3 linked regions of the Styela clava genome follow. The protein of the gene in region 1 purifies or fractionates together with the protein of each later gene. This does not show direct contact. Links are inferred from orthologs where the notes say so. Each region holds a gene or a part of one and is shown in the gene's direction. Other genes may lie near its edges. The genes, in order: spliceosome associated factor 3, U4/U6 recycling protein-like; 7SK snRNA methylphosphate capping enzyme-like; speckle targeted PIP5K1A-regulated poly(A) polymerase-like.

Region 1 (7,111 bases):
AGACAAAATTTAAAACGATAGCGTCAAGAAAAAGCGTTCAATTTTATATCACACAAATAAAAAAAAAACGTACAGTTGAAAAGTTGTGAATCAGTACTTATTCAGAAAAGACTGGAAATACTTCTTGGAAAATAATTAAAAAATTGGAAATTTCATTCAGGTTTGCGTTAATATCATTCCAAATTCTCAAAGCCTGGTACTTTATGGAATTTTGGGCACGCGAGGATGAAAAGTAATAAAATCTTGGTTGCCTAAGTGAAGTAAAAACGTGATCGAAGCTTTAGTATAAATAAATGTGTAGTAAACCTGCGTAAAAAAGATTGAAACGTATAATATTTGATTTTTCTGTTTTGAACTAATCAGGCATTCAGTAATCACAACCATTGCGAAACAGGTTTTTACAAAGTGCCTGAACGTAATTTCCCTCTTACGAAATATGGTGTCATTTTGAACTGACGTCATTCATACATGACGTAAGTATCAGAGTCCAGAGGACACTCACGTTGCTGTTGCAAACACGCACAAGGTTCGTTTTCGTTTTATTCAATGTCATAGTGACTTGCTAGTTGTATGTTAATGTCGACTGCAAAATCCTCGTTTATTGAAAGCGGTCAGAGCAAGCAACAAAACGCCGAACTATTGAAAGAGTTTATAGACATCGGCGTGGAAATAGAAGAAGTAAGATCAGAGACTGAAAAAGAACTTCATCAGCAACGATTGGCAGATCTAAAACATCTTCTAACAGAAATTAAAGAGGATAATTGGAAATATAACACTCAGCCAGAAGTTTTGGGTTTACAAAGTGCGGACACATAGGATAAGTTGAACCAGATTACTTAGACTACCGATACCATTACAGCATTACCTGTACCAATTCAAAATGTCTGGAGAAAAGAAACAAATGACAGAGGCTGAAATATTGTCACAGCTTCCTGATGGAATTCAACCTCGTCAATTTATAAATCCCAGTATGCCCCAGTATACATCAGCTAATATATTTGATCAAGAAACGACTGCTCAGATGGTGTGGAGAAAGTTTAAAGAAAATCCTTTTATACCATTAGGACTGGGCGGAACAGTATTTTTCTTGACACGTGGTATCTTGAACATGGGGAATGCCAAAGTATCACAAAATATGATGAGGGGGCGTATACTTGCGCAGGGTTTCACTGTGATGGCTATTGTTGCAGGTATAGCCATTGAAGGAATTAGAGCTGACCGTAAACAACGAGAAAGCAATGAATAATGATAAATTATCTACAGATCAGATTTTTAATCTTGCCTTGAATTGAATTAAAAAAGTTTGACATACGGTCCGTACAGTCATAAGCTGTGCATGCCTAAGCTGCTGTGTCACCATTAAAGTAATTAATAAATTAAACTATTATCCATGCATTAAAAAAATGCATTTTACCATGAGACATGAACATCAATATATTGGCGGTGTAATTTTCATGTTTATAATAACAAAAGCATCGCTGTTTCAGGTATCTTGATTTCCTAACAATGTGCCAATGTCTGAAATAGTTATAACAATAATTTTCTTGATAATAAAAATGAAAAAGACGTTTAATGAATTTCATATGTACGAGTGATATTAAAAATAATAATTTTCAATTTAAAGTATTTTACTGCATTTTGGCTTTTTATTTCTGGTTTACTTGTAAGATGAATCGTAATATATCCATGCTTTCATTTTATCAATTGTATAATATGGATGTATTATGTTTAGGGGAACATATATTATGTCAAATTAATAATTAAATCTGGAAATGTGTTTTGATTTTAATCTGTCTAAATATAGATTAAATTTGTCTGTGACCAATGCTTATATTGGTTCTTTGAGAAGGTATGAGTGATAATAACTGTGATCATTTTTACTCTAACATTTGGTGCCAATTATTGCGGATTTTGTAGTGACACCCGAACTACATCCTGGTATTTTTTCTCGGTATATCTCAGAACAAACTGTCCATTTTATCAATACCTCTATAATAATAATTTTTAACTAATTTGTATCAAATTAGGTATAATTAGTTCCTATCTTGGCCCCCAAAATAAATGAAAATTTGCCTGACAGCAGTGTAATAATGACAACACTGCTAATATGAATGCACTCGATGGCTTTGACCAAAAAGGCGAAACTTGAACAAGCTGTGTTAAGGCATTGAGTGAAACGTATATTTTCCAAACTTCTTTGAAATGAATAGTGGAAATTGCTTCAAACTATGATTACCGGTAGTTATTATTGTTGTTAATTATTGTTGAAATACTTTTCTTCCAATTACAGATATATTTTATAAAAATAATGTCAGGCTTAGACGCTCTTGCTTCATATGATATATCTGATGAGGAAGATGAAGAAAAAAAAGTAGAAGAAAAACCAGAAAAAGAAGAGAAAACTCAAACATTAGAGCCCCAAGAGAAGACTAACGATAAACCGAAATCACCTTCACCTAAGGGGACTATCGAAGATCAAGAAGATATTTGGCAAGATCCAGATGAACATATCAATGATGATGATGATGAGGAAAAAGAGGAGGAAGATAAAGACTCAAATGATCCGGAAGATGCTATAAAAGATGTTGAGGATCTCTCGGTGATTCATGATGGGAGTGACGTGGATGAGGCAGAAGAAGATGGAGGAAAAGAAAGTAGTGAAGGGGAGGAAAATGATGATGTAAGCAATCTTGGTGATACATTAATGGCAAAAGCGAAGCGAAGAGCGAAACGAAAAAGTTCTGAGAGCGCTACCAATCTGGCAAAAAAACTCCGATCTGCTTCTGTTGATGAAGTAAGCATACCACCTGAGCCGGAAGGAAGATGTTCAAGCAGTTTACAGGATAAAATTACTAGATTTATGGAACGGAAAGTGACACATGGGGAGGACTTAAATCAAGCGATTCAGTCACGAAAAGATTTTCGCAATCCTAGTATTTATGATAAACTGATTCTATATTTAGGTATTGATGAATTAGGAACTAATTTTCCACCTCAGGACTATAATCCAAAACGATGGAGAAAAGTTCCTAAATATGACGAACTTGCAAGAGCTCAACGTGAAGATATGGCCAAGAGGGAGAAAGAGCGTAAAACTAAGGTTGAGTTTGTTACAGGAACAGTTAAAAAGCCATCTTCAACCTCAAGTCAAGGTGGTTCTGGGGATCCGGTAAAAAAATCAAAATGGGATCAGCAAGGTTCGAGAAGTTCCACAGAAAAAATTTTGACTCATAAAACAACTGTTATACCTGCTGTTGGGAATATTAAAAAACCCAAACCCTGATTTATTGTAGTTTACGTTACACCATGTTGTCTAATAAATGAATATAAACTGACACATATCCCCTGCCACCTAGTCGACCAAAATCACATCTTAATACCTCCTTTTGTTGGTATAGGGGACTTTGGTCGTAGGAGTGCAGCCTCTTGTAATTTTGCATATTTACTAAGGCAAATGTATCCATTCAAACATCAAAGCATTCAACTTATACCAGTACTCAATGATACTATATAATGATATAATCATTTTATCTTTACATTTGTTTTTTTGTAAAGTTGACGGTAATTTTTAATTCATTTTTTTGGCATTGAAATTTGTGATGTATTATGACAGGAATGATAAACAATTGTTATGGGAGGATATATATTCAAATTTATGTATTCGATAGGAAGAATTTTTTTTAAAACTACAATGTGTTATGTACAATATGTAATATTTTGTAACAGGAGGTTTATAGCAGACTATATTTACTGCACTAAATTAGGAATGCCAGAGGAAGTGAATTTGTTCAAAATTGGAAATAATTTTTGCTTGCAAATTGTGTTTCGGATTATTCGGATTATTCGAACTGCCTGTAAAAAATAATTCAATAAAAGCAATATTTTGTTGATCTTGAGTACAATATGGTATATTTTCTGATTTACAAAATAATCATACTTGTCGGTATTGGATTCTATGGTTAATATTTTTATTATTTTGCTTACAATATACTATTAAAAATTGCATCTTTTTGTTTTAGTCTTCTATATTCTTTGTTATAAAGTCTTAAAAATGGAGGTTGAGGAGAGAATGGAGGAGGAAGATAAAGAAGAAGATGAATTATCAAGTGATGAGGATGTTGAGGAAGAATCCTTGAAGGAAATTGAGGAATTGAATGAGAAAGTATTTCATTTGATTTTTATTCAACAAAATGTTATAGTATAGATCAGAGATGGCGAAGATTTTTGTACTGATTGGCTTACTCATTAGATTTTTATCATGAAAACGAAAAAGTGAGCCGTAGATTTAATCAATGTCTGCATCAATGAGGCACTTGACGTTTCATTTTTCATTACACATATTGATAGATTTAACTGAGGCGGTCTTATAGCAAATTTTTTCCTCATTTGAAATATGTTGAAACGTTTTTTTTTGCAATAATCCGTGACTTTGTGACCTGCGGGTCAGTGGTTTGTCATCCATGGGATAGATACTCTTGGTTTGTTTGTAATCTTTGGCCTTTCAACCCAATGTAAATAATCATGTATAGCACTGATATTGTAAGGTGCTTCAATTTTTTACCAATATACTCGTAATAAATATGGTTATAAACGCAGATTAGAAAAACATCAACATACAATAGGTGTCAGTAGTATCGAGAATAAAATAAGCTGTTGTCCACTTATGATTCGAAGCAATGTAAGATTTAGAATTGGCCCATTGTAAAGTTTTTATTTCTATTTGGTTATTTACCTTGTATTGTTTTTAGTTGTCCAGATCTCCATTCGACTATCATTCTCACATCACAATTATTAAACTTCTGAGAAAAACTGGAGAACTTGAAAAATTAAGAGATGCTCGTAATGTTATGGCAAAGATATTCCCACTAACTCAGGTAAGACTGAAATATTTGTAAATTGTATGAAAATTTACGGCGCCAGTATACTATGAGATCAATCGCTTTTTCTCCAACTTAAACCCCAGACTGTAACTCGATAGGCGACATAGGTGGATGATCTCATGATATAGCTGCACCAAAATTTCTTCTCAGTGGAACTAATTTATGTAAATTGTCATAGTTTATATCTGTGGTTTCCAACCTTTTCTCGATAAATTCCTCTTTTTGCCTATTTTGGACAACTTCATTCCTCCTTTACTATGCATAAAAACTATGATCGATTATTTGTGCAATCTTAATAGGTCTGAAATTAGAGCTACGGGCAACTGGCATGTTGGCTTTTGCACAGTTTATATATATAGTTTATAATAAATTCATTAATGGGTATTACAACAATACTAATTAACCAAATCGATTTTGTGAAATTACATCATATACAAAGTGATATTTTCTCCCTAAAATATCAAAATCCCCCCCCAAAGGGTAATTTTTCCTATAATATATTGTTAATTATCCTAGGCTCTCTGGTTGGAGTGGATTGAAGATGAAAAAAAATATGCGGAATCGGAAGAAGATCATAATAGAATTGTTGAATTATTTGAAAAAGCTGTCAAGGATTACATATGTGAGTTAAGCGACAATTTTAATTCAATTGTATAATATATTATAGGCAATATGTTAGGTATGTTCAATTAGAATACAACATACTTGTGTTGGCATTTGGTTTGACATAACTGGTTTATTTTTTTACTTTCCAAGATATTGGCAATTGGGAATATATTCAGTATTCCACATTCGTAAATATTATTTCAAAATGCACTTTGATAATACGATAATGGCCAACCCTGACCATACTGCATAAAGGTGAAATTTATTTAGAATTTTTGACTTCAGTTAATATTATTTTTTTATATTTTCATTTTATTAGGTCCAGAGGTATGGCTTGAATATGCTCAATATTCTATAAGATGGTTGGGTTCAGAAGATGGTTTGAATAGAATTCGTGATGTTATGGAAAGATCTATAACAGCCGTAGGCCTACATGTAACAGAAGGTGCTGCGTTATGGGAAATGTACAGAGAGTTTGAAAATGCAATGTTACAAAATTTACAGGTTGGTTATTACTTACCAGTATGGCACGCATTGAGATTAAAACCTAACATTTGTATTTTTTATAGCTTTCTTGAATGTAACCTGTTTATTCCAGTTTTCGGTTGACTCTGTATTGTAAAAAATCTATCAAGGCACATATGTTTCAAAATGTTTCTAACCAGTAATAGGTATGTAAAAGTTGCCTGCATACATAATGAGTCCAAATTACAGTATCAAATTTAATATAGAAACTATTTATATTCATGTATATATGAGAAATGTGTAATCTTCCTCTAACTAGTTTTTTGAACTCTATATTTCAAATCAACAGCCTGCTCCTGGAAGTGTATCGACAGCCGAACAACAAGAAAAAATCAAAAAACAATCGAATAAAATAAAAACTCTCTTCAAGCGACAACTCGCCATTCCCCTGCTAGGTAAGTACAATGGACCAATGGTAATACTGTTCTTGAACAAATTTATTTTATTTTATTTAAATAGCATAGATTGTAACTTGAAAGATAAACCATGGCTAACAATGACTTGTTGCTCTCACAGTGTTTCAAACCATCATTAAGGTTTATCGCATACAACAATCTGATTTTCAAAATTACCGATAAAGAATTTTAGCCTAGTCTATCACAGCTATTTATATACTAATTTTTTATTACTGCAATTAAATTAAAACTCCTAGGAAGACAGAGTAATCATTGAATTATCTGATTTATATTTAAGTTACCGAAACACAACTGAAAACTAATGAATAGAGTTCAAAAACGCGAAAACAAGGTAATGTTTAAGACCACGCTTGAAAATCTGTCTGAGTGAAAAAAGTGTCTGAGCGGAGGCGAAAAGGGAGCATTGTTACGTCACTTTTTTCATCTTGCTGATTGGCCAATGTCACGAAGTAAACAAGAAAGTCGATGCTCGGGGAAAGGTCCATTTGTCCAGTTTTTTTTTGTATGAGGCCTATTCACAGAATTTGCTTTATTAAACCATGCTCTATGCAAGCAACTTTATTAATATTTTTTGCCCTAGTAATACCCTAGTAATAAAAATGTTGTAGACTATGTTATAGTTGAGGCTAGTATATTATTTAGATAAAGTCTTATGTTTTTTCGACGTTGTCGCGCAACATGCTG
Region 2 (7,318 bases), about 15 Mb from region 1:
GATATTTCCGTTATATTAAGCTTTTTAATCTGATTCAGATTGTTTTTAAAAATAAAATAAGTTAGAGAACTGAGGTTGAAATTATTTTTTGCGTGAAGCGATCATGTTCGCGGTATTTATCTCATTAAAAATATATTGTAGATCACCGTGTATACTCTAGTTCAGGGTGGTCCAAGGTTGTCGGCTCCGCGGGTCACAAAATCATTTTTGCATTGTTCGCGGGCCACAATAGTGCCAAGAATAGGTAAACAGTGCAATACAAAACGAATGCTTTTATTGTGCAAACACATAGCTATCAGACATAGCCATCCCAGGCTAATAGAATCTACATTCTATTTTTAGTTTTCTATGATGCCTACATCGTAAGCATATATTCCCGGCCAAAAAGATAGAAAGCCAGATAATAATTTAGACTGCCAAGCGCATCACTCAACTTTGCTAGTTACCTCAGCTAGCCATAACACTAGTCAGTTTAATGACATTAGTGATGTAACAATATGTCAAAAGATTTTCTGATTAATTTTATTACAAAACAACACGGAATGCGTTTTTTTTATTACTCTCCGAATGTGACGCGGGCCACAGATAACGAATCGGCGAGGATGTGGATTAAACAGCACTTGAATACGTTATTCCACAATGTCACATAGAATGAATGTGAAATTTTTTTTGACATGCTTCCCATTATCTTTAAAACTAAATTAAAATATCACCCGAGAACTGTATCTATTTTTAACCCAAGAAAAGAAGCATAGTACGGAACAAAAACACCCATTGTTCAATCGAACCGGACCTTACTAATGTCTTTTAGATTTTTTGCAATAACTTTGACTTGCCGTGTCGTAGAAAACAGTGATTCCCAACCGCAGATTACTGCCGGTCTACCGGAAATTTTGTTATTTCGACATTTTCTGCCTATATTACTGTTTGGTTGAATAAAATACAAAGTTATATGAGTATGTTATATAATTTGTTTCTGTCGTTAAGATCTTAAAAATGGGGTATTGATTGTCCGTTGGCGTCTCGTCCGACGAGGAATCACACTTTTCCCTTCCGATCAATCGCGAAATCGTTCCATGATTCTAGCAAATTTCTAAAGTCTAAAAGTCGAGAAATTGTTTCGGTTCACATCGTCCGAATAAAACATTGTTACATAAGTATCGTCGTATTTAGACAACAAAATAATTGGACCTTAAAATAAGAAAACATGTGAAACATGCCCTCCTCCATTCAAATTTCCTTTGTACAAAACGTCGAGTATATTTTTAAACTATTCACCTGTAAATGTTCTTCATAGAACTACGTTTGGTACCAAGAAAAAGTATATTTTCATTTATAAACCAAGCAAGACTAATAATTTTTTTTTTTTTTGGAATTTATTTTAAGCACTGTCGCAGGTGTTAAATTGTGCAAGTTTTAGAACTTGGCATTGATTGATTTCTGATTTCGAGTTTGATAGAGGCAATTTTTGCAAACTTCCGGCACAACCCTACTGAAGTGTTTGTTTTTCATTGAGTAAATATTTGATGACCTCATGATTAATTTTGTTTTGGATTTGTTACTGACACGTAGAACTCCGGCACTGTCTTTAGAAACAAACCCATATCAACTTCCTATAACAAAAAATGCACTCATCAATTTTGAGAAGCATTCTGCTCCGCAAAGAAAATAACAAACGTTTTCATTGGTAAACATGTATAATCACTCAATATATCAAAAATCATAACTTCATAAGTAATCACACAAAAGTTGAGACTCATTACATGGTTTTTCTATTTCAAACTTTTGTATTATTTTACTTTTGAATCAACAGAGAAATCTACAATATTTTAACACCGAGCTGAAATTGACAAAATAAATATTAATATTTCGAAATATTCTCACCAATTCTCAGAGGATCTATTGCTTTCTCACAAAATATTACGATTCATCAACTCTGTCTATATCTACACGTTTCGTCACAGACCCCGACGTTTTGTTATTATTCCGAATCCTCGATATATATATTTTATACGATGACGAAGATTATCAACTTTATTGTTAATTGTTTTTTTAAAAGACAAATAAAATAATTGCTACAACTTCAATTTCATTTTATGAGTCGGAATCTTGCTATTAGTTTTAAAAATAAAACACAGCTGAATTGTGATTTCAAATATTGCTGATCAAAAGATATCTTGAAAACTAACGGCCATCGAATGTCTAATTTGGGTTAGGAAAACAGACAGATCGCAATCGAGAAAACTCATTTCAAAATTTTTCCTTTCGATAACCAGCGCACTTCGGCGTAAGCCTCAAATCATTTGCTTTAATGTCTTTGCTAATTTCTGAAAATATTCTGTGCTTCTTGGAATATGCGACTGAACAAAATTAATACCTTTTATGATGTCACCGAGAACAATATCCAAATCACTTGTCTCACCCTTTTTATAGACTTTAGTTAGATCTTTTACGTCTTACGAGTACAACAAGAGCCTCTGGATATACCGGTATGTATCCTTAACAAGGTATTGAACTGCTACTAAAGGGTATAATGACGTTACACTTATGACAAGAAGATTACAGAAAATCGAAAAATGCCGTACATAAGTTTAAATGTATAGGTTTGATAGATATTACATACCATTGCCAATTTTAGCGTTTTTAATGCATAAATATGATGAAGATATATTGAATAAAATATTGACACCCACCAACGCAGCTTTGGAGCAAGCTGCTGCAAGCGCTACTGATGAAAAGGGTTCGATGCTAATAAACATGCTAATAAACAAAATTTTGCAACTTTGGAGCGTTTTGGGGTCGTTTAATAACAGTATCAATTGCCTTGAAATTTTCAGTGATCAAAGTGATGGCGCCGGCGCGAATGAATTTTCTTCCAAAACTTACACGACAATTATCACAGGTAAGCTACTGATTTTTGAAGCAAATTGAAAAAGTTGCATAATTTGGTGTAAAAACGACCAAAACTTAATTCTTAGATGACGATTCGCTAACGAAGCTGACACAATGCCAGTATCCATCGGACATGGGAAACTTCATTGGCGTTGAAATCAACGCACAAATCAAAAAAATTATAATAGACGCAGGCCCGTGTCGACCCCGAGGGCCTTTCCCGAAGAATACACAGCGGAAAAAAAGGGGGGTTTTCGTATCATATTACACAAAACAAACAAAGAGAAAAGATTTGAGTTTTTCTGATATTTGTACAGCCTTGGTGATCATTCTAACGTTGCCCGTAACTACCTCAACTGCCGAGAGTTCGTTTTCGAAACAGAAATTAATAAAAAATTATCTCAGGAGCGCGATGTCGCAGGAAAGGCTCTGTGAACTGGCGCTGCTGAGTATTGAATCTGAACGCTCGACCCAAATTGATATGACGAAGATGGTGGATGAGTTTGCTAACGCGAAAGCGCAAATTTTAGGTTACCATTGCCTTCTTATACCGACATGTTATGCTTTTTGACGAAATAAAAAAATAGTAATTTTCTACTTTGAAATTTTGTTTTTGATAAATGAAAATTAACGATATCCCCCGAAAATAAGCCCTAGTGTTATTTTTCAAAAAAAAATGAAATAAGACACTGTCTTATTTTCGGGGAAACACGGTATGTAAATCCTATCCGTCGATCGCTATGGAAATACACTACACCCAACCCCCGTAATTTAACAATACCGGTACATTTAGAAATATAAGTAAGTATAAGTTTATTCCGACTCCATAATCAGCAATAGACGATAAAATAATTGATAAAAACTAAATAAATAAAACTGATTATAGAATCGGGAAAGCAAACGAAAACTCAAGTAAGGTTATTTTAGGTGGGAAGGTATTGATAAAAGAAGTATTACGTGTTCGCTCACTCAAATAAAATAAATAAAAGTAATAGTGTTTTAGCGATAACGACAATCTTCAACTCACTGAAAATTTAGGACAACATAAAAAAGAACACTACCAACAACATCATAATAACAAAACGATCCATTGGCCCATTTTGTGTCCAACAAACAAGTTAAAATCGGTTTTGAAACGTCAAGGAAACGTCGCCGCGTCAAAACGTAGAGATTACGTTCGCTCGACTGACTGTAGTCACGTGATACATCGGTTAAAAACGCATGTACGACTTCAACATCTCATTACGGCGGGTTGCCTGGGTGCGTTCGGTTGTGTCAGCGTTAGCAGTTGAGGGAGTGTTTTCGTTCGTTTAATTAATGTTGTATCAATGGAGAGGTTTATCTGCACAAGCGGTTCCATAATTGTGAGTATACGCTTCGGGCTCTCTATATAAGTTTTTTTTTCATAATACAGATCAGATAGGCGATTTGTAACTGTAATCAGGCGCTTACATTTTCGAGAGAGGAATTGGAGGGGCGTGGCCCTGGTCACGACCACACTGGAACGAGATTTACTTCACACATCTGTTTGGCCGATTGCGCCGTCAATCATGCGATTGCAATATCACGTAAACAATGGCCAAATCAAGGAATATTGCCTCGCAATGATTTACATGTGTTAATGGTGCTTAGGTTAGTTTAATGCTTGGCACATCATTGACCTATCACATAGCAAAAATTGGAATTATTAAGTTGATAAGAAATTATGTGTGGAAAACAGTTTAATTATATGTCTGTTTGCTAGTTCAATTAATCAAAAATTAATCTTGTTATTTTTATTTTCATTCACTTTCATCAAATATCTGTCTAATAAATTTAGATATAGGCCTATGGTCATTCTATGAAGAACAAAGCCAGGGAGGATCCATAAAAATCATAAATGTTTTTTAGTTAGTCCATTTGAAATGATCCAGCTCTTATTCATTTTTGGTATTTTATTGTTTGAAAACATGGAAGGGTTGCATATAATTCGATATTATTTAATAGGCCTATTTGACTATGCACATCTGGGAAATTCCGGGGAACTAAGAACAAACTAGCAAAAAATAAAAGTGCTCAATATTGTTTTTTTACAGGTTCTAGCTTCTATCCATTATCTTTCAATTACATGCATCATGAATCATTTTGTATCACAAACTTCATTAATGAATTTACAGTCTGCAAAAATAAAGACCATCATTTTAGACAAATAACATAAATTTGTCTTTACTGTGCGAACTTAGAGACACTATTGACTAGTGCATCTCATCCTAATCAGAATATATTCTAGATCTGCATCCAAAAATACTCTGTATACTGGTATAACAGAACTTCATAAAACGACTGATCGTTTCAATTAGCAATGGCAACTGTGCAAACATTATCTCCTTCATCAGAAGGAAGGTGCATTTTACAATTGTCCAATACTGATACCATTATCACAAATGAAGAAGACTTTCTGAAAAATGACAATGGCATAAATTTTTCAAGTGCCCCTGAATTTGTTGAAAGTGAGGAAAATGTTAATCAAATTCATCAGGCGGGAAATAGAGGTAGAGCAAGAAGACGCAAGAGAAGGAACAGTTTTAATGAACATTCTAATATGGGTAAGACAATTTTTATAAACATGCTTATATCAATCAGATAAAGAAATAAAAATATTTCATAAGTGTGTATAGGACTGGTCAAAGTATTCAAATAGCAAATCTTATATTATGATGTTCGAATGGCACTTTACTATTCATGTACCATGTGTACCATCACTTTGCTTGGGACAAGGAACTCTCATGTTGCAAAATCGATGGCCTGGAATTGTACGAGAATTTACCCACGGCTTTCACAAACAGACAGAAACGACAAATTTGTATAATCACAAATTCAATATCTTTGCGTTGAGATGTTTTTTGCTTTCTTTTTTCGCAATTGTATCATTTTCAATCGTTTATTTTGCTAATAAAATGTTAAAATGACATTCTCAAGAGACCATGCATGTCGGAAAAGGAAATTTAGGTCATCAGAAGATGTGAGTTATATAAATAGCATCAATTTGAAAATGGCAACTCAGATTTTTAAAAAGCATCACTTCTAGCCTAGATAAGGCCATATCCCTCTAAATTGACTTTCTATTAGCTTGGCATGTATTTTCAGTGATCTATTCCTCCCTTACAAAGTAATGTTTTGAAAATGTAAACATTCACTTGGCCATGCATGGTGGTAAAATTGTAAACAATAGGAGACGATGTAATGAATCTTGAATATTCTTGTAACAATGCCCATTGGCTCGTTTACGACTTGTTGCGCCCAGCCTATCATCATCGTAAATGATACATTATTTCTACATTTTGAAGCTTTTGTGCAGTAATATTTAGGGCGTGACCTAATCGAAATAGGCTAGTTAATTGTTGAATTTTCAAATTTCGTAAATAAAATTGTGAATTTCTTGGTAACGATTTTAGCTGTAATAATGATCTTAACCCTCAATAGACACAAAAGCACTTACCGGTAATAACTTCATCTCGCCCAATGACCACATAGAAATCCCTATTATTTACTATTTTAAATCAAAGCAACATTCAGGATTCTAGTATCACAGCTTTGCAGAGTTATCTATTTGATACAAAAATAAGACAGACATCATAGAAAAGCATACATCAGTCAATTATCGTCCTCATAAATATCTGCAATCCGGTGTCGATAATGATAACATTGTTATCTTAAAACTAGGACAGTTAATTTACAAACAGTGTGTCCTTTCGATATCATGCCCTGATGAAGTTTTTCTGTATAGAAATTCGAAACGTCGGCAAATTACATCGTTTTGTGCTAACACCGGTTGTGCTTCATTTATTATCAACATGAGTTTACCTGGTGGCAATCACGCACAGTGATAGGGAGGTCAAAGCCGACACGAATGATCATAATAAAATTAATCAGGTCCTGAAATAACACCTCAATCTGTCATCAATATGAACACACGTATAAATATTATATACATCGTATAAATATTCAAAATATAAAAAGAATTAATACTAAAAAGAGAAATGGCTGGAATATATCTTATCAAATTTACGTTTTCGGTCGTTAAATCAAACGGGATAAATATAATCAGCGGTTATGTCAAAATTAACCAGTATAAAATCAACGTTGTCATTGAATTTGCAATGTTTACATTATTTAATTTTAAAAGGGAGTATGGACCTCTGACGTTCTGGATTCCTATTGTGTATTAAAAATATTCGTTATTCGAAAAAAAAATATTCGAATTGTTTGATTCGAAAAAGCTATTTGATTTTGCCCACCCCTACTTATGTATTTGTATAAGCTTTGTTGTTTTTTATGTAACATTTCTTATATCTCAGTGATTTGAAATAGACAGACAACAGACTATCTTTCAAATTGTATTAGTGGTACTTTGGATCTGTAGCAGAATATGCGGAATTGACTATTT
Region 3 (7,272 bases), on another chromosome or scaffold:
ATTCCTTCTCGTTCGTTGGTTGCTTGAAGAGTTGATAGTTTCCTCGCCTTCGTTTTTGTCGCTTGTTTCGCTATTTGAATCAGTTAGAGACCTTTAGTCCATTTGCTTTCGATTTTCCACATTCCTTTTGAGCTCCTCACTTCTTCCCGGCTTCGCATTTCTTAGCCGTAGACTTCATAATGAATAAGGTTGATGCACTACTTCGCACTCCGTTTCGCAGCTGCCGCTGGAACAAAAATTAGAGGTACAACGTCTTGGGCCTTATCAACCAAAAAATTGTTCACTGGAACAATCCCATGACGGAGGAAAGCGTCGGCGTACATTCTGCGCAGAAACTTGGTATAAAAAACACGAATGGTTGTGTTACAGCGGGGACAAAAATGCACTTTTTTGTTTTTATTGCCTACTTTTTGCTACCGTTGGTGTAAATTTGGTTTTAGAGATCTTAAACATCTTTCCGAGCGTGCCAGGGATCATCAATCTTCTATGGAGCATCTGGACAATGCAGTAAAATACCGAACATTCGGAAATGTTAATATTGCAACACAGTTGGATGAAGGACGCGCGGTTTCTATTCGTCGGCACAACCGAAACGTCGAGAAAAACCGCCATGTTCTCGGTCGATTGATAGATGTTTTGAAGTTCATTGGTTGTCACGAGCTGTCCCTCCGTGGGCACGATGAACGGGCTGGCTCTTCTAATAGAGGGGTATTTTTGGATATGGTGGAATACACCGCATCCCTATATAGATACAGTATTGAGAGATCATCTTGATGCCGCAACTGTTTCGAAAGGGACATCTAAGGATATCCAAAATGATTTGCTCGACTCAATGTATAAAATTTATTTACAACATTTGGCTCTGGAAATTGAGAATTGCCAGTTCCTTTCGATTCAGTTTGACGAGACCACTTACATCACGTGCGTTTCCCAACTGGTTGTGATTTTTCGGTTTGTGAAAGATGGTAAACCTACCGAGAGATTTCACAGCTTTGTACCAATCGTTGATCGCACGGCTTGCGGGATATCGGCTGTACTGAAAGAAGTGTTACAGCCTTACAACGCGAAGTCAAAATTGATAGCTCAAACTTATGACGGCGCGGCAGTCATGAGTGGGTCGAAACATGGTGTTAAAGTTTATATAAAAGAAGATTTTCCTCATGCGCATTTTTTACATTGTTATGCACACCAATTTAACCTCGTTATTAAAAATATGTGTCTTGATACCCCTCTCGTCCGTATATTTTTTGCAAATGTCTCGGGGTTTTCTTCATTTTTTCCGTTTCGCTGAAGCGCTCTGACCTCCTTCGCCAGATATGTAGCCGCCGTCTCCCAGCTTGTGCACCAACACGTTGGAACTTCCAATCACGCGTGGTGCAGGGCGTGTCCGAAATTAGGTCTGAGCTCATTGAGTGTTTCAATGGCATTCAGAGCTCTCCGGTTTGGGACGAACGCTCTGTCAGGGAGGCGGCAGGTCTAAAGTAGAGATGTACCGATACCACTTTTGTCGCCGATACCGATACCGATCCGATACCAGCTAAAAAAGCCGATACCGATACGCCGATACTACAAAAAGGCCGATATTCCGATACCGATACTATGTAAATATTACTTAATTAGGTGTGCTGTGTAGGGCAGACGGGTTAAAACAATGGTCTTTGAGCGTTGTTCATAGTACACATTATTTCAGATCGAAAAATGATATATCACATAATATGAAATTAATGTTTGGTGTTTGCTTCAACTGATTAAGATACACTGTACAGTAACGCTAGTAATCTCGGTGTTCAATTAGAAAACTCATAAGCCGGGATGTCCAATTTGAATTTAATGTTAATATCGCGACCTTCGAATATCGTTATTCGTGTTTAAGAGAATATCGAATATCACCCACACATTCTAGAGCCGCCGTCCTACGTTCAAATTAAAAGCATTTTTCAAATATTTTATTTCGTGGCTAATCGTAATCGTCGACGCAATAAGTCAAAGCCAGCATGAAAGAATATCATTCAGCACCGACCAAAAGAAGGCCTACCTATAACCGTCGAGGATGTTTTTTTACTTTACTATTTTATATTATTATACAATTGCTATCATATATTTTGAGACAGTCTAGGACTCTAGGCGCTCTAGGGCTAGGCGGTCATGTCAATATATCTATAAAGAAATTATGTTGTTAAACAAAATTAATATCTGCGTAGAGGGATAATTGTGTCGGAATTTAGTTTATCGATGTCGTCGGACTAAATGACACTCGTACTTGACGACAAACAGTCAGAATTTATACCCGTGCCAAAAGTCCATGTGCCGTTAATAAGGACCCCAATTCCACTGTATGATTTAAAACTGGGCGCCTAATTGCTTTTTGTTATGTGCCGTGTTGATATATTTCTTCATAATTACTATGTAATATTAAAAATGTCAATATAAAAATTTGACGGCGAAAATAGCTAAAAATACGTGAATCATATTCTCTCGCGGGGGTAGGGACATGTATGGCTCATAGCTCACGATCTCTCCAGACAAAAAATAAAATAAAAAGTAGTATTCCAACTTATCTTTTAAAACATTCTGGACCATATCAAAAAGGTAAATATATCGGAAATATCGGCCTTAATCTAACCGATACCGATACATGGCCGATACCGATACCCGATACCGATACATCGGTACATCTCTAGTCTAAAGCGTCTGCTAGAAGATGGTGAGTTTTCATTTTTTCTCGCCTTTTTCTCCACAATATTCTATCACGTGGATGTATTATACGGCGCATTGCAGTCAAGGCTAATGGATGGAGCGTCTGTGCAGTCGTGTATTTCAGACTTCTGCGATGCTGTATCTCGTATCCGGGAAACAATAAAATACGACGACACATGGAGTGCTTCTTTACGCCGAGGGCAAACAACGCAGCGTTTGATTTTGTCTGCAAAGGAATGCTGTGACATTCTGGTGAATCAAATAGGCGATCGTCTGCGCACTGAACACCTTGCCGCGTTCTCTTTGATGAACCCCAAAAAATTTTCAAAATTTGCACGTAATTTCGCATCCATTTGTTGGCTACTGTCTCCAAATTTTACCCCATGATAAACGTGGGTAAATTGGAAAATGAATTGCGATGTATATACACCAATCAAACTTTTTTGAACATCACATCAACTTGCGCGCTCTATGGGTTCCTCATAGATAACACTCTGGTAACTACCTTTGCGGCGTCTGCAAAATTTCTGGACATCATTTGGACGACGCCTATTTCTTCCGCCGACGTAGAGCGAACATTCAGCACGCTGAAGCGTATTAAAACGTATCTCAGAAACACAATGAAGCAAGATAGATTAAATTCCTTGGATGTTTTATCCATTCACAGAGACGTTATTTCTGGGATGCATGACTTTAATCAGCGCGTTATTGAGCATTTTGCTTCCAAGAAACCGCGGCGTGTTGCATATATGTTCAAGCAGTAGAAGTATAGCAGCATATATATCTATGAGTGAGCGACGCATGTCCTTATCTTTGCATAACTTTCCTTTCTTCATAGTAACGTTTTAAACCTTATTTTAGGTTTTGTCTGCTTTCCCGAAGTTTCTGTTAATATGTCATTGTATTTATCTGGGTAAATATTGCCTTTCCTTTTGAAAGAGGTTTCAAAATAAACTATGTCTATATTTATTAATCCCTTGCCTTGGACCGGTTTTAAAGACACTTTCTTATCGTTAAAAATTGTCGCTTTTGCCGATTGGTTGTTACCGATAGAATGGTTTTTATACTCATAAAATGATGGGAGAACTTACAGCGCTCATCCTTGACTTGGGGTTACTTGGTCCCGCAGTAGCTTGCCCCGGTTATCAAAATGACCACGTGCCGCCACTGATGTTTGGTATTATATATGGCCAGTTCAAAACGTGCTGTTAGTATTCTGTCATGATGAATTCGAATCTATAAGGATTCTTCTTTTCTACCAATAGGTCGTTATGCCGGCTTCATTGGAGATTTTCGAGAAATACCTGCCCCGAATCGAGTCAATATTGAAATTCAGTCAATTTAAAACAACCCTTTAATACAATTTGGAATTTGAAATTGGGACTGTTACAGTAATTTTAGCGTGGTAATATATATTAAAAATATGAATAGTGTGATGACTAATTGTTTTACTTTAATTGCTATCGGTAAATCACTCAAAATATACACTTCCTAGCACAAAATGATTGGGAACATTTGATTTTACGTGTAGGAATTTTCTGCGATTCTGTCAGCTCCAATTTCGTGATTATCTGCTAACTTCACAGAGGTCTTCCACCAATAAGGACGAAGGATCACGATGGATGAAGATGTGAAAGGCAAGGGAATATTTTGCGACAAATGTGATGTTTACATTCCAAATGGTTAGTTCACTAGTACCATGTTATGTTAAAGATAAAACTAAAGCACACTAGAGAAGCACACTCAAGGGTGGGGTCTCGTGTAGTTTCGTACCTAACCCACTTCTAGTCGGCGTAGCATGACAATTTTTTTTTTTTTATATGTTAATCATAACCCCCATCTGATTACGCCATCCAAAAATTAAATCACTACGACATCACAATCACGTCATAGAGCTTGCCAAATATACGCACGATCGACCGAAATGGTATTGGCGCCGACGATAAAGAACTGACTGACGTTATCGGTCTCTCTCCTATTGGAATCGTTGCGACGAGAGAAATAACTGTTCGATTTCGGGTGCTCGTTTGCGCGTCTTGGATGGCAGTTCGTATAGTTTAACAGGCTCTATTACGTCACTGTGACGTCGTAATGACGTAATTTCTGGATTGTGCAGTCAGGTGGGGGTTAGGATTGATACATGAAAAAAATTGTCATGCTACGCCCACTAGAAGTATGTTAGGTAAGAAACTACATGAGACCCCAAGGGTGCTGTATCTACGCCTAAATTTTTATTTTATCATTATGTATTTGGTGTATTGTGTTGTCCCTATTTATATATATTGTCTTGTCTTATAAACTCCCTTGTGTAAACAGTTCTGTGTACTCCTCCCTTACCACTTTTGCCACACCAACCCATTGCCCCACCTTACACAATGGTCTGTATAAGGGACCATATCATATGCATTTAATCTAACATTTTTTGTTCTGTACTTGTCGAAAGGGGTGCATGTCGCACATTTGTGTTTTAGGCCAGTACGGTCTTGTGCATGCGCCCCGTCTCCAATATTAATATTGTCAATTTTTTATATTGCTTACTACTACGTCTACGAGACTAATAAACATACATACAAGTACGTTATAATATTTCTGTACATAGTCCCATCTTCTGGTCTTTCAAATTTTGGGTCTATTTAGTAAGTAGTTAAGTACCACAACAGCACAAGTACTTTTAGTAGGCTTGTCTTAACCATTATTGAATATGTTATTCCCAACCCCCACCTGACTACGTAATCCAAAAACTGTGTCACTATGACGTCAAAATCACAGCTCGAGCTGGCTTGTGCGCCGACAATAACAAACTCAACCTTCATATCATGATGGCTATAACGAGAGAAATAGCTTGCTCGACTACAGATAATCGTCTGCGCCTTATGCACAATCATCCTTATATTTTGGCGGGCCTTCTTACGTCACTATGAAGGAATAGGGATGTAATTTTCAGATGACGTAGTCAGATGGGGGGTGTGCAAAAATTGTTACGCCACGCCCACTGGAAGTTATTGTGATACAAAACTACACGAGACCCCATATTTATATCAACCAGGATTTGAATTCATCTTTTCATCAACAAATCCTGAAATCTCAATAAAAATCATTGATGGATCGAACTCTAATCATAAACCTGAACCATCACCTGAAACGAAACTAACCATGGAATTGCTTTTTTTTCAAGTCAACGAGAGATGCAACTTCATGCATCTGTAACAAATACCTCTAACTGGCTAACTAATCTCATTCCCAACATAGGCTGACATTATTTTAGTTTGTTTCCTATTTCTTTTCTTGTAGAAGCATCATTAGCTGGACATTTAAAAGGCAAAAAGCATGTTAAAAATATTGAAAGAATACAGAAATTGGAATCAGAGGCGAAAAGATCATTGTACATAACAGGATTCTCTACATGTCCTCAAGCAATAGAATTATCTCTTGCTGATTATTTCTCAAAATATGGATCAATTGCAAAGATAACAATGGATAAAAATAATGTAAGTTGGCAGTAATGTAGTTTTACTAAACCTTGGATAAATGAGAAACATCAGTGACCTCAAATTAAATTTGAAACGGTTAAGAGACCACTTTTATATAAGGTTCATATTCAGTTTGCTGACTTGAGTCCATTGTTTTTCATGCGTGGCCCATATTATGCAGGAATTTGATTTTTGACCGATTGAGGTGTTTTCTGGCCTTCATTTCAAACTAAAGTCTATTATGGACATGTCACTGTTAATATATATGGAGATACTGTTCTTGGGAATACTGCAAACTTCAATTCATCGTTGCTGAGGCTACCGAATTTATTGCGCCCTGAGTGCAAGATCTTTAACTTGTGATAACAGCATCGTTAAGTTAACACTTAGGCCTACTAGATTCTATCTGCCTGTGTTTCAGATATAGAACGATTTAGTTTTTGTGGTATTTTTACATTTTTTTTTTGTTTGACAATATTTCCCATTTCAGAATCGCTTTGCCATTCTCGAATTCAGTGAAGTTGATTCTGTGAAAAAAGTGTTGCAAGTAAAAGAACATTTTCTCGGATCAAAATCCATTATTGTTAAACCAAGGTTGGTGTGTAATTTCGTCTTCACCTCAGATAAATATCATTCTTTCATTCATATTATATTATTCACAAAAATGTAGCAGTTTTCATATTGATATAAGCTTTGAGATATTGAAAATTATAGTGTATTTTTCACACTAATAGACCAATGAACTATTTGTATATAAACCTCTATAGCCTTCACCCTTCAGTGTTCAGTCTATGAAACATAAGTTTTCTTTCTCTCCCTAGGCACCTAATATCTTTTCTAACACACTTTTTGCAGGGAAGTCAAGTTACCAACATCAAAAAGATCAAACTTTGAGCAACGTCACATTGTACATACACAGATGCATCCTGATGTTTGGAAAGCTCTTATGGATGCAGATGATGTCAGTTATCATTGTTTTAATAATATTCCAAATATGACTAAATTACTATTTATATCACAAAACAAGGACTAAGAATTGTACAGTCATATTTTATTAAACAATCAATTTCCTATTTTATTGCAAGTACTGGTCATGTATAAGTTA

Evidence for each region.
Region 2: the proteins of spliceosome associated factor 3, U4/U6 recycling protein-like (region 1) and 7SK snRNA methylphosphate capping enzyme-like purify together in Homo sapiens (affinity purification with mass spectrometry; 6 studies listed by BioGRID and IntAct, counting the BioPlex papers as one, with this or other methods). This does not show direct contact. The link is inferred for Styela clava from reciprocal best matches to the Homo sapiens genes SART3 and MEPCE.
Region 3: the proteins of spliceosome associated factor 3, U4/U6 recycling protein-like (region 1) and speckle targeted PIP5K1A-regulated poly(A) polymerase-like purify together in Homo sapiens (co-immunoprecipitation; 4 studies listed by BioGRID and IntAct, counting the BioPlex papers as one, with this or other methods). This does not show direct contact. The link is inferred for Styela clava from reciprocal best matches to the Homo sapiens genes SART3 and TUT1.

What each region holds. Positions count from the first base shown.
Region 1 is NC_135252.1:15,208,859-15,215,969, forward strand, and holds the start of spliceosome associated factor 3, U4/U6 recycling protein-like, read left to right. Parts: upstream 1-4,026; 5' UTR 4,027-4,051; coding exon 4,052-4,162; intron 4,163-4,748; coding exon 4,749-4,874; intron 4,875-5,396; coding exon 5,397-5,502; intron 5,503-5,805; coding exon 5,806-5,990; intron 5,991-6,300; coding exon 6,301-6,406; intron 6,407-7,111. Other genes in the region: HIG1 domain family member 2A, mitochondrial-like, read left to right, coding at 881-1,246; uncharacterized protein LOC120343445, read left to right, coding at 2,309-3,283. UniProt on the Homo sapiens protein: U6 snRNP-binding protein that functions as a recycling factor of the splicing machinery. Promotes the initial reassembly of U4 and U6 snRNPs following their ejection from the spliceosome during its maturation.
Region 2 is NC_135252.1:268,464-275,781, reverse strand, and holds the start of 7SK snRNA methylphosphate capping enzyme-like, read left to right. Parts: upstream 1-4,236; 5' UTR 4,237-4,256; intron 4,257-4,967; 5' UTR 4,968-5,233; coding exon 5,234-5,477; intron 5,478-7,318. UniProt on the Homo sapiens protein: S-adenosyl-L-methionine-dependent methyltransferase that adds a methylphosphate cap at the 5'-end of 7SK snRNA (7SK RNA), leading to stabilize it.
Region 3 is NC_135255.1:8,653,331-8,660,602, reverse strand, and holds the start of speckle targeted PIP5K1A-regulated poly(A) polymerase-like, read left to right. Parts: upstream 1-4,272; 5' UTR 4,273-4,315; coding exon 4,316-4,379; intron 4,380-5,988; coding exon 5,989-6,185; intron 6,186-6,657; coding exon 6,658-6,761; intron 6,762-7,022; coding exon 7,023-7,128; intron 7,129-7,272. UniProt on the Homo sapiens protein: Poly(A) polymerase that creates the 3'-poly(A) tail of specific pre-mRNAs. Localizes to nuclear speckles together with PIP5K1A and mediates polyadenylation of a select set of mRNAs, such as HMOX1.